Nothobranchius furzeri: one gene and its partners. Each later gene encodes a partner of the first gene's protein in a complex. Links are inferred from orthologs where the notes say so. Each region holds a gene or a part of one and is shown in the gene's direction. Other genes may lie near its edges.

Region 1 (3,500 bases):
TTCCATTTTCATGGACTCTGCTAATAGGGTAGAAATGTCAGAAAACACACAACTCCCAGTTTTTCACAGAGGCACATGTTGTCAACAGGTGGCAGAGATAATTTCAGATGTGATGGAGCCCATCACGGAGGTCAGCCAGCCAGTGGATGAGAACAAGAGCCGCCGACAGCAGGTCCAGGTGGGTAACGCTGGACAACGTGATCTCCTCAAGCATCCAGAAAAAGATCTGGATACAATATCTTATTTATTTTACTTAATTTTTAGCTGAGACTTCGTTTTGCTCCTTCTAATCTCTCCATTAGTTATATTTCCTTCTATCTACAAAATTTCAGTGATTTTGCTCTTCCTCCAGCCTAATGCTTTATATTTGTAGATGGCGCACATTCCAACTAGTTGAGAGGAGGTTTTTAACTTGTAGATTATAAGTTTTGGATTTCATAGACAGCTGCAGTGATTTGGGAGGCTGTAACTACTAAACAAGTTGGTCTTTTGCACAGGTGTTTAAATCCATGTGAGTCCAAAACCCACAAGCGAGTCTCCAGGGTCTCGGCTGCTGTAGTCACAGATTCCTGTCTCAGCGTTTAATCTGGTCCAGCATTATCCAATAAAAGACCAACTCTTCTTTTGTCTCTATTTCACCTTTTTTGATTTCTATCCAGTTAGCGGAGGTGAAGGTCCGCATCATGGAGGCTAAAGAAGCTTTAGAGAACTGCATCGCTGCCCAGGACTTCAGTCAAGCAGCAGAACTGAAAGAATCCATCACCAAACTTGAGGACAGCAGGAACCAAATCCTGCAGGAAATCTCTGAGAGCAACCAGCCGGTCATCAAGGAGGTCCGAACCGAGAAGGTACATAGCGACACGGGAAGCTCCGCCTTTGTAATATAATTTGCTGCTAGCGGCTAAATGAATTCTTGTCATTAATTGTTTTTTCCAGAATGACCCAGAGACTCTTCTGAGGTGTCTGACCATGTGTGCGGAGTTGCTGAAGAAGATGAACATCAAGACTCCGATCGGTCCAACCATCAGTGCCTTGATGTCCTCGCTGGTATAAAAGTTGAATTTTTGCTAATTTTGTTAACGCTTTATGTAGGACGTCTAGAGAAAAAGAAGTAACTCACATTTAAAATGGCCACAAGTTCACATCTGAGTTATGAGCGGGGGCCTCATTATTAAGACTGTATAGAATCCTTACAAAAATTCTGTATCTATGCATATAGCAAAATCATTTTCCGACCTATAAAACACTGCTTACACACAGCTGCACGCAGTTTCTGCTCTATAAATCACTTTAAAATCACACCCCTACCTCAACACACGAACTTTCTGCCATAAACGGCGAGTGCAAAGCACTTAATACTCTGCATATAAATAAACCGGATGATCGGTGGCATTTCACTGCCATGGCAACAGAGTGGTCTAGGAAATTTGGTTTCACTGATTGAAATCAAGGTGAGTGAGGTAGAGGCACAAAAAATAGTTTTGTTGCTTTTGAGCAGCACCAAGTTGTTGCAGCAGTGAGGTGTTGAGCCGCAGAGCGATCACTGCAGACATAAAATAAAAACATAAAAGTGGTCAGATGGAGGCAAAGAGGAAAATGGCAATAATCACTGAAGTCATCCAATACGACCTCAAATCGATGATGGGCATTGGTTTGACCTCTCCTTTGATAACAGACCTTTCCAGCAAATGTTCACTGATGCTAAAGTCTAACCCTGCTTTAACCATCACAGGCTCCTCTAAACTCAGAACAAGATCTGATATCGATGCCTACAACTAGGGATGTCACGTTCCGATATCGATAACGGAAGTAATTTGATATCGGCCCAAAAACACTGTATCAGATTATATTGGACTGCTTCAAAAATCTCAGATAAAAGCTAAGGTTCACATTTTACAACCAATGGTTAAAAAAAATATATATATTGTAATTTTTTTCATACTTACTGTTATCTGCTCTTGTTCTCCGATTGAGTAATATCACTTGATCAAGCCTTTCATACATTCCACACTACAAAATAACAGGGATGCACCGATACAATACTGGTATTGGTATCGGTGCCGATACAGATACTGATACCGGTATCGGCATCGGTAAAAGTTAACAGATACCAGTAACTGATACCAATGCAGTTGCTTGAAAGTGACTTCACTGTAAGTTGTCATTTCTGTTCACCTAATATTTTAGTTTTGTGATCACTTATATTACTTTTTATCTACCTCACAGTCTTTTCCTATTGAAAACAGAAGAAAATAAAACCTGTATTCCAATTCATTGCATTTTTTTGTGTGGTAGAAGTATCTGTATCGGTATCGACGAGCACTCAGATCCAAGTATCTGTATCGTATCGGTTAGGAAAAAAAGTGGTATCGTTGCATCCCTACAAAATAAGTAAAAGTATGTATGATTGTACTGATATCGTATCGGATTGATATCTGTATCGGTCAATGCTGAAGGCGGCAATATCGGTATCGTATCGGAAGTGAAAACGTTGAATCGGAACATCCTTACCTACGAAGCAGCAGAAAGCTGAAAAACATCAGCTAGAAAAGTGTTTTTAGCTTGAAAACTTCATTAAAAATTCAACTTCAACAACGTCTGTGTTGACAAATGTTTCTCATCCTTTATTTACATTGGTGTTTTAATTTGGATCAGACTTTAGACATTAATACCAAATCAACAACGTGTTTAAATTGAATCAAAACTAAACTTAAAGTGTCTCTCTTTTTGTTAGATTCTGCCGAGCATAGCTAATCCTTATCCTGCCGTCCGCAACATGGCTGTGGTGTGCTTGGGAACATGTACTCTTCACAGTAAGGAGCTGGCCAAAACTCACATGGTTCTTCTGCTGCAGGTGGGTTCACACAACCAGCCATATCATACACTAATGCTCGCGTGTGTGTGTACAGAAGTTATTGGCCTGGATTATGCTATTATACTTGTTTCACCTGTTAACACACGGTACATCATGGGTGATGCGGTAGTTGTGGCTAGAGGCTTGTAGTGTCGGTGGTAAACTCTGTGGTTGTTTGTCCAGATTGCCCAGCTGGATGAGGTAAAGATCCGCATCAGCGCTCTGCGGTCCATCATCGACCTGCTGCTGCTGTTTGGCTTCCAGCTGCTCTCAGAAACTGCTTCCAGTCCGACAGCCCAACCCAACCAATCACCTGAGAGGCAGGAGGACGACGCAGCGGCTGAGGACAAGGGAGATGTCCCAGAAGATACCGCCCAGAGTATTCTGGTGATGCTTTCAGAGTTCCTGGACAGTGAGGTGAGGCTGATCATGTTTGTGTTTCTGAACTGTATAAAAAAAAAAAGGAATTTTGATACACGGGGAGGGGGTGTGGGGTCTCAGTCCAGCCTCAGGTTAAATTGAGATATCTGGAACTGTCTACTAGGGGCTTCACATCCACATTGCATATATTGAGTTCATCCCTGGGTGGCCTACCAGGCGGTTTTTCAGCCTATTATCCTCTGGTGGTCCGGGCCAACACGCCCGC
Region 2 (4,198 bases), on another chromosome or scaffold:
ACAGAGACGAGAACAAGAATATATCCTGGTGTGAAACATATAAATGTTCATCTTTCTATCATATTGTTTATTTAACAATCTAGCTTTGCAACTATTTTAAGCGCTACCTCGCAAACAAAAAACTTCTCTTACAATATGTTGCTTTATGAATAAGAGGGTAACTGATGTAAAAAGGGTAAAAATTGTAAATGAACACTTTTCAGTTTTTCCTTGATTACTCGTGTTTGCAACTGGAATATGTTTAACATCTTTGTTCTGGTACTTTTAAAATAAAAAAAACGATTTTATTGGGTTATGTGTTCATTGGGGCTGACAAAGGTAAGGAATTCTGACAATATGTGATGTAATTAATGCAAGTTTGAGCTGGATTAAAAAAACGGACATAGCTAAAGCTAATATCAACATACAAAGGATATGTTTGGGTTCCTTTAGCAGCGATGTTTTCAGTCTCATTGTAGGAATTTGCTCTCCTAAACGAATAAAAACAATGCCAGACAACACATGTTATTCAAATGCGGCATACATGAAATAAATAATTCAAAACAACACATAAAAACAACATTAAGCGTACGCATCATAAACATACCCCGTTGATGCGGTAAAACGTTCCTTTAATGGAGGAAAACCCTGGGTGTTCTGCAGTTGCTAAGGTGGCTGGCACCGTTGCTAATGTGAATCCTCGGTAGGACTCGTGCCAGTAACTTGTGTGCTAACGATCCTCTTGAGAGCCACCGACATCATACTGCAGTTAACGAGTTTATCCGTAGCGAACCTGCGAGGCATACGTGTCGTATAATACGGTTCAATTAAACAGCAACGTAAAAATCAGCCATAAACAGCACCAGGCACTAATTTGTCATAACGTAAGGCTAACTTTTTGGTAGCCATTTGAGAGGACGTTTAAAACGGTAGTTATCGCGAGATTTACAAATATCTTCCCGAGAAAACAAATTCGAAAATGCTTGTAAATTTAAATAAGATCCCGTTAATACCATCCACATAAATATACGGTTAATACATGCCACGTTTTAATCAAATCAGACGTTGCACGTATTGTAATAAACGTAATGGGCATTTTTTTAACTAAACGAATTCTTAAAAGGCGGAACTCACTTCTACTGTAACTGTAAACATAAAGAACAAGATTAAAGTTTTTATTTGCAACAAAACGTCATTTAAAATTGTGTATCTTAAACTCCAGAACAACGACTCTTTATTCTCTCCGTTTTCTTTTTATGAATACTGTAGATGTGGAGAGGCGGAGTTGGCTTCGTCCCCTTTTTTGAATTTCGAGTTTTTTCCCTGCCCTTTGAACGGTCCATGGTGCCTTGCGTCAGTTTGTAACGAATTTGGTTTGACGGCGCAGTTTAGGCGCCATTTACAAGTTAGAATTTTCAACCAGGAAACCGACTCGGAATGTTACAGGGCTGAATTTTATGGATTATATTCGCCGAAGTTCGGATTTCCTGGAATTTTTTAGAGCAACGACCTGGGAAAGAAAGGAGGACTTTTCACGGACCGCGTCGATATTGTGGAAGGTACCAGGAGATATCTTAGCGAGGAAGATCGACTGGGTGCCGTCTATTTGCTGAAACGCGTAGCGTTAGTTTCAAACTAAAAGTACCACTGACGATGTGGAACTGCATTTTAACTGAAGAAACCCCGAAAAATAATACAAATAGACTTGTGTTGTCTATCAGCTGCGAATTAGGACTTCATAAGATTTGTTATATATTACATTCGATCTAGATTGTTTGCCAAATCTAATAGCAGTGTAACGTGGACCGTTTCTATTTTCAAGCTAGTTTTTGTCCTTTTGATCAAAGTTAACGTGACTTTGGTTGAGTTAATGCTGTTGCTCCCCGACCTACATTGCCAGGGTTATCTATTATGTTGCTTGTGTTAGTTTGTTTCGTGTTTTTTAAGGTTAAATTGATGCGGTGGTTATTTTATGCATTTGAACGCGCTTATCCAGTGAGTTTAGGTTGCTCAGTTATACCTCCGCCCCCAACAGAAGAGCTCCCAGGATGGAAACTTAATGTTACTGTCAGATTGAGACCTCGGCTAGAGCCCTTCTGCTGCGTGGCTATGCAACATGGGACAAGACAAAGCGCTAAGGATAGAGAAATCGTCTCATTTGCATATTAACTGTATTTTGTTTTCAAGATATTAATCTTATTTTCACGTTTTCCGACCAAAACGAAGCGTGCCGCTTATAAATGACTAAGATGGTCACAAACAAACAAAAAGTTCAGCTAAGAAATTAGCTTGTTTTGTTATTTTAGTTAGTTTTATGATCACAAAAGCATCAAAATTATGAAGTAGATCAGCTGAGCAGTTTTCAGCTTAATTTTCTTAAATCACGTCATTCTAATCGCGAGATCGTACCGTAACTCAGTTAGACTTATTTGTTGTTTTAGCTGATTTTAGCGTACGCTAAAATGTGTACCGAGTGGGAACTGAAGGAGCGGCAGTGAGATGTGCTTGTGGCAAAAAGATAAAACCTGACTTCAGTAGCTGCGACTATACGCGGAGTTTAGAGATTGACAGGCACAGAAACCACTCATGGATATTCTTTTTTCACCAATGACCCCTTCAGATTTCAAATCATGCCATCTAAAACTCAAAAGAGCTCAACTGCCTCCACCAAGACAAGGAGAGGGTTGCAGCCTCGAGATGACTCGGAGGACGAGCTGGATGTACCCCCTCTACAAACCAACTCAAATGGCCAAGAGGAGGCACCGCCGACAACTGGCAAGTAACAAAAGGCTGTTTTGGCGTCTGTGAATCTAAATAAGCTGTGCTGTGTTGATAGAGGCCAAATGGCTCAGCTGTAGCGTTTTTCCTTCCACAAATTCGAGCACGTAGTTAGAATGGCTCTTAGTGGGGTTTTTCCTAAAGTGCCACTCATCAATAAATTCATTTTCAAGATTATTTTAACAACGAATGTGCTCCTTCCACGAATGTCTTTGGAAAACAAGGTAATTCATTTCGATTAAAAGAGTATTTCGTGTTGTAAATCAAAACTAATTGTTTTAATGCGTATAACGTGATGTTTATGAATTTTATGATAATCTTAATATTCACACGGGCCCTATTAAGTTAATCAGAATGTGTAGAAAAGCTTTACTGGGCTTCGTTTGCTGTCGGAATTTGATTCCTAAACATCACTTGATTCGCGTGTTTATGCTTGTGAGCACAATAGATTATTGGACAGGTCGCTGTAGCTTGGTGCGATGGCAGCACGATCGGGTGGACGTTATGGGCTCATCACCACGAACAAGATGCTTCTCCCCTCAGGGTTTTGGCTGCAGCGAATGAAAACCTGTCGTTTATCACCAAAATAAAATCCACTTTAGCGATTTTTCTCATCGACGGAGTGACGCATCCGCGCTTGTGCGGGAGAGCGTTTGCGTTATCGTGCGGGATCCTTCTGACGTGCTGCTCTGCTTCGCTCCTGTCCGTCACAACAAAGGGAAATAACGCCCGGCAACTTTTCTCCGGGCTCGTTGTTTGACTGCGACTTGCTGCTTATGTTTTTGTTTGTTTGTTTTTGTGTGAGTGCGCGCGTGCTTGTGTGTGTGTGTGTGTGAGTGAGTGAGTGCGCGCTCCTCTACCCCTCCCCCATGCACCACAGACGGCCCCGCCTCCACCTGAAACGACTCGCTCAGGAGATTAAAAGTTGTACTTTTTTGTGTGCCACAGATCCGTGTCAGGAGGAGGCTGCCGAGGCGGTTGATACCCGGAGTTTGGATGAGATTCTCGGTAGCATCCCTCCACCCCCGCCCCCTGCGATGACCAATGAACCGGGCGCCCAGCGCCTGATGATCACGCATCTAGTTAATCGTAATTTTAAATCGTACGCAGGCGAGCAGATCCTTGGGCCTTTTCATAAGGTATTCTCAAATGGATGTAAATGAAACATTTGGCTGAGAAACACCTTATTAAATCTGTTCTGCTGATATTAGATGCACCCTAACCGGATGTTACAGTATTTCATTTTATTTGTTTTAATTTCTTATTATTCTTCTGCAGGTATCTTACCATCAGTTGTAGAATACACAACACAAGATAACATTTTTTTGCAAGTTTTAACTTGATAAAATCTAGATAAAAATCACAATTCTCCATTATGATTTAATCTGGCATCCTATAGTGATTTATCACTGCACCCACTATTCTATTTAATTAAAAAAAA
Region 3 (3,944 bases), on another chromosome or scaffold:
GTTTTCGGAGACGAAGGGCTCCGGTGATTCAAGCAACCCTGCCCCATTGCATGGAGAGGCTGCTTGAGGGGGTGCGGTTGGAAGAGGATCGGGAGGACGTATCCCTGAGAAGGTCGAGGGACCTGGAGCTGTGGAGCAACGCGTGGTTCGTCAGAGGAGACCCCCTGTTCGGTATAAGGATTATCAGGTGGAAATCTAGGACTCGAGGGCGAGTCCTTCAGGACAAAGAGGGGGAGAGTGTGATGGACAGAAGACGGAAGCTGCCGAGCTCCGAGGGTGTGGTGATTGGACACCAGCTGGTCCTCGTTATGGATAACGAGGCCAGGGAGGATAAAAGGGTGACAGACCTACTGAGAGGTGTGCGTGGTCGACCTGTCATTGTGGCATCGGACTTTGGGGGGTGGGGTCGTTCGCAGCCGGGTAGGGCTGCCGGTGACGAAGATAGCTGAACAGGTGTTTGGAGTTCCAGCGCCAGGAGGGAAGGCTGGTCGCCTTCTTTAGACAGTTAGGGCTGGGCATAGGTGATGCCAAGGCCGCGCCGACATCTGCCGCTACGGACTCTGGCAGTGGACTTATGTTGTGGATTTACCCGCCGTCCTCGCAAGCTACACCCCGGGGCGTTGGACGGCGTTGGAAGCTCAGACCCCGGGGACGGGGGTCACACCATCCATGACAGCTAAGTACCGCTGCTTATGTGACTCATGCTGGACAGTTGGTTTTAGAAGAGAGGGCTTGGGCCATGGTGTTTTATCGTTGTGTTTTATTATTGATTGTGCAATAAAGTGTGTCTTTTATAAGCCGTTGCCTACTGGTGGTGTGTTCAGGTTCTGACCGGAGGGCAAGATGTTCTGCCCGTGCTGCCCACGGCTACTTTTATTACAATATTTTGGGATGACATCAGCTGCCACTGAGGAACAGCCATCTACCTCCACTGCTCGTACCAGTAGGCCAGTATTTGAACTTGAGGAGGGACAGTCTGCTGGCACCACATCTCCCCAGGAAGATACTTTAGGTGGGTTTTGCACATGTGTGTGTGTGTCCAGCAAACATTTAGCTATAAACATTTAAATAGTATTTTCACAGAATATGGGAATTGTTCCATATAGCAATGTGGTGAGTTATGCTTCCATTTTCTGTCAATAGAGAGACCTACCAGTACATGTGAACTTGATGAGGGACAGCCAGCTGCCACGTCTCCCCAACAAGATATGTCAGGTAAGTTTTGCACAAGTGTGTGTGTGTGTGTGTGTGTGTGTGTGTGTGTGTGTGTGTGTGTGTGTGTGTGTGTGTGTGTGTGTGTGTGTGTGTGTGTGTGTGTGTGTGTGTGTCCTGCAAACATTAGAGAAATTTGAATGTCACATATTGTATTTTAATAGAATATGTGAAATGGTCCACATAGCAATGTGTTGAGTTACGCTTCTGTTTTCTGTCAATAGAGAAGCCTGAACGATCAACCAATGGGTCCCATTGAAGGTGATGATGAGCCTCTTTCTTCAGACCCAGCCAAGTGGCCATCACCAATTACCGACAGCATACGCACAGAGCTAGTTCGAAGAGGACCTACCAAGGTGCCAACTACTTTCATATTTCCCAGGAGTGAAGGCGATGGCAGGTGTTGTCATCATCACTATTTCAGTAGAACTTTGACAAGTGGTGAGAAGGTGGCCAGGAGCTGGATGTTGTATTCAGTTAGCAAACGTTGTTACATATAATACACTCCACGCAATTTGAAACAAAGTTGTAGGTGTAATTTTTTTTCTTGTGTGTGTGTGTAGGGGGGGGGGGGGGGCGTCACGGGGGATCTCGCACAGGGCGCCATTTAGGCCAGCTCCGCCTCTGATGAGAGGGGCGCTGTTTGTTAACAGAAATACCGTCACGACCCAGCAATTTTTGAAAACAAAAACCTGGCATTCCCCCAGCCAGCTCAAAAGGACATCTTGTCATTGTAACATTGCCTGTGATAGACACATTGGACTGTTTTGTGATGATTTTACTGTCCAATTCTTACATAGTTCACAAAATAAATTAACGTACATTAAAATATAAAATCCTATCAGATAGGCCAGAGAAGTCACTAGTAAACCCAAGTGGTCTTTTTTTTTTAACAGTACACGGTCATAGTTGCCCACTCTGGGCAACTTTAAGGAGTGAAGAGACCCATCCAATATGGCGGCGACGTTGTTTCTCACTCCAGCCATATGTCTTCAGCGCCCAATGAGCGTCTACGTATTCATGTCTATGGTGGGCGCGGCGTCACGTAATGGCGTCTGGTGTGTTACGTAAACCGTCCGGCGCAAAAATTCAAACTTTACAGGAAGAAAGAGTGCACTTTGTTGCGTTAAGAACAACTAAAATAGTTTAAAGCAGCATCGCACTTTAATAACGACTTCGTCTGAATTGGGATAGTTTGAAGGTTCGTGCAGCGGTCCGGGTGGGTACTTTAGTAAACTTTTATCGTATCTTAACCCTCTGGAGGCAGGCGTTGCAGATTTGCAACGTTAAAACCTACCTACCTGGTTACTTCCCAAACTTATTTCATGAGCATGTTTTAACTCAGAAGTACCCCTGAAGGACTTAGTTGTTCGTCCTTTTATCAAAACTTATTTTGAGCCTGAGAGGGTTAATGAGACTTGTAGCAAACGTTGTTATGCTAACGGCTGTTGAATGTTAGCATAAGGCTAGCAGTGTTTAGCATACAATAAACGTATTTTTGTTGTTTAGGATTAATAGTGCCTATTAACACTGAAGTAAAAACGTGTATAGTCATCAACGAGGAACGATTTTTTTTTTACAAAATTGCATTGGGTAATCTAGATCTAATGTTAAAGTGAAAAGTTTACTGGGGAGTGCTTCATTTAGCACCAAGGCTAGCTCTTTGTTAAAGGGTTTATCTGTTCGCACACCTGTGTCTACATGTGAAAAATCACTGGTGGACCAGAATCGGGTTGTTTCATATTCCCGTCTAATAGTTCTTGTGTCCAAACACTGTCACAGGTTTGATTTATCTTTCCAATCTTCCTGGTGAAAGCTAAACAAAAGTGTAAACTAACTTAAATGTTTTAAACAACTCCTGGAAGCCAAATGTCTCTAAACACAGTTATAAAAACTTTTTTCTTTTTGTGCAGCCAAAATGAGTGCAACCTCCACCCCCATCTCCCGGGTTCACCCCGGACGGGCTCTGTCCAATCTGAAGAACAAGGGTCAGTCTCCTGTAGCCTGCAGCACCCCACTGATGGCAGCCTTTCCTGGGAATGATGATGAGCAGGAGCGGCGTCAGCGCAGGAGATCAAGGGTCATTGACCTTCAAACTGCTGGTGAATCCTCTTTTACAGACTCTGCTTCTCACAGGTGAGGTGTTATGTTAGAGGTGCAGTGAACTCATCTAGGGCTGCAACAAACGATTATTTGGATAATCGATTAATCGGATGGGGTCTCGACACGATTAATCGGATCACATGGGGAAATTTTTTAAAACTGCTAGGGAAACGTTATTTCTCTCCTTCCTTCACTTTATTTAACACAACATTATTAGAAAACAGTTCAATAGCAGAAAAACAACATGCCATCACCTAAATTGTCTTATAAGGTGTATAGACAGAGACCCTAAGCTACATCTATCTGTGACCTAAAATGCTTGGTCCAAGTTAAACAGCTTAAGGGCAATTCTCATCTGTTTTGTTTGATCTCATCTGTTAATATTTATTTTAAATGTAATTAAACATAGGCTGTGAATTAATCAAAATTGATCACTATTTCCAAAACTGACTGAAAAAATACCAAATAAAACAAAAGTAAATGAATGCCATCCTCCTTGCGATGATGCCCTGGGCAACTGCCATAAAGTCACATCAAGAAATGCTGCTGATCATTCCAATGATCCCAAATAGACTCACATTAGGCCACATGAAAGCAACTGAACCCAAAAATATATTAACCAGTATATA

Evidence for each region. The genes of interacting proteins can lie anywhere in the genome.
Region 2: ncapg (region 1) and smc4 share a complex: the UniProt entries of both Homo sapiens proteins name them as parts of the condensin complex. The link is inferred for Nothobranchius furzeri from reciprocal best matches to the Homo sapiens genes NCAPG and SMC4.
Region 3: the proteins of ncapg (region 1) and ncaph are in contact, whole or in part, in a crystal structure (PDB 6IGX), measured with the Homo sapiens proteins. The link is inferred for Nothobranchius furzeri from reciprocal best matches to the Homo sapiens genes NCAPG and NCAPH. Residues at the interface, in NP_071741.2 of Homo sapiens: Lys11, Phe14, Arg15, Gln18, His50, Tyr51, Lys53, Tyr54, Val55, Met56, Val57, Glu62, Ala64, Val65, Val68, Phe102, Ser106, Glu108, Ala109, Asn110, Ser111, Val114, Arg115, Ile149, Arg150, Lys152, Asp153, Lys154, Arg159, Glu188; in NP_056156.2 of Homo sapiens: Glu471, Ile472, Asp473, Phe474, Glu475, Asp476, Asp477, Ile478, Phe480, Val482, Tyr483, Phe484, Arg485, Lys486, Thr487, Ala489, Ala490, Thr491, Ile492, Leu493, Gln501, Asn502, Trp503, Ala505, Thr506, Thr507, Leu508, Phe512, Tyr514, Val516.

Annotation. Positions count from the first base shown.
Region 1 is NC_091746.1:76,936,186-76,939,685, reverse strand, and holds part of ncapg (condensin complex subunit 3), read left to right. Parts: intron 1-88; coding exon 89-178; intron 179-659; coding exon 660-848; intron 849-936; coding exon 937-1,047; intron 1,048-2,734; coding exon 2,735-2,854; intron 2,855-3,037; coding exon 3,038-3,271; intron 3,272-3,500. UniProt on the Homo sapiens protein: Regulatory subunit of the condensin complex, a complex required for conversion of interphase chromatin into mitotic-like condense chromosomes.
Region 2 is NC_091753.1:52,603,087-52,607,284, forward strand, and holds the start of smc4 (structural maintenance of chromosomes protein 4), read left to right. Parts: upstream 1-1,398; 5' UTR 1,399-1,538; intron 1,539-2,403; exon of another isoform or gene 2,404-2,599; 5' UTR 2,600-2,609; coding exon 2,610-2,754; intron 2,755-2,954; exon of another isoform or gene 2,955-2,981; intron 2,982-3,705; coding exon 3,706-3,896; intron 3,897-4,198. Other genes in the region: ift80 (intraflagellar transport protein 80 homolog), read right to left, coding at 414-453. UniProt on the Homo sapiens protein: Central component of the condensin complex, a complex required for conversion of interphase chromatin into mitotic-like condense chromosomes.
Region 3 is NC_091757.1:27,682,822-27,686,765, forward strand, and holds the start of ncaph (condensin complex subunit 2), read left to right. Parts: upstream 1-1,144; 5' UTR 1,145-1,215; intron 1,216-1,294; exon of another isoform or gene 1,295-1,436; 5' UTR 1,437-1,568; intron 1,569-2,270; exon of another isoform or gene 2,271-2,431; intron 2,432-3,125; 5' UTR 3,126-3,130; coding exon 3,131-3,348; intron 3,349-3,944. UniProt on the Homo sapiens protein: Regulatory subunit of the condensin complex, a complex required for conversion of interphase chromatin into mitotic-like condense chromosomes.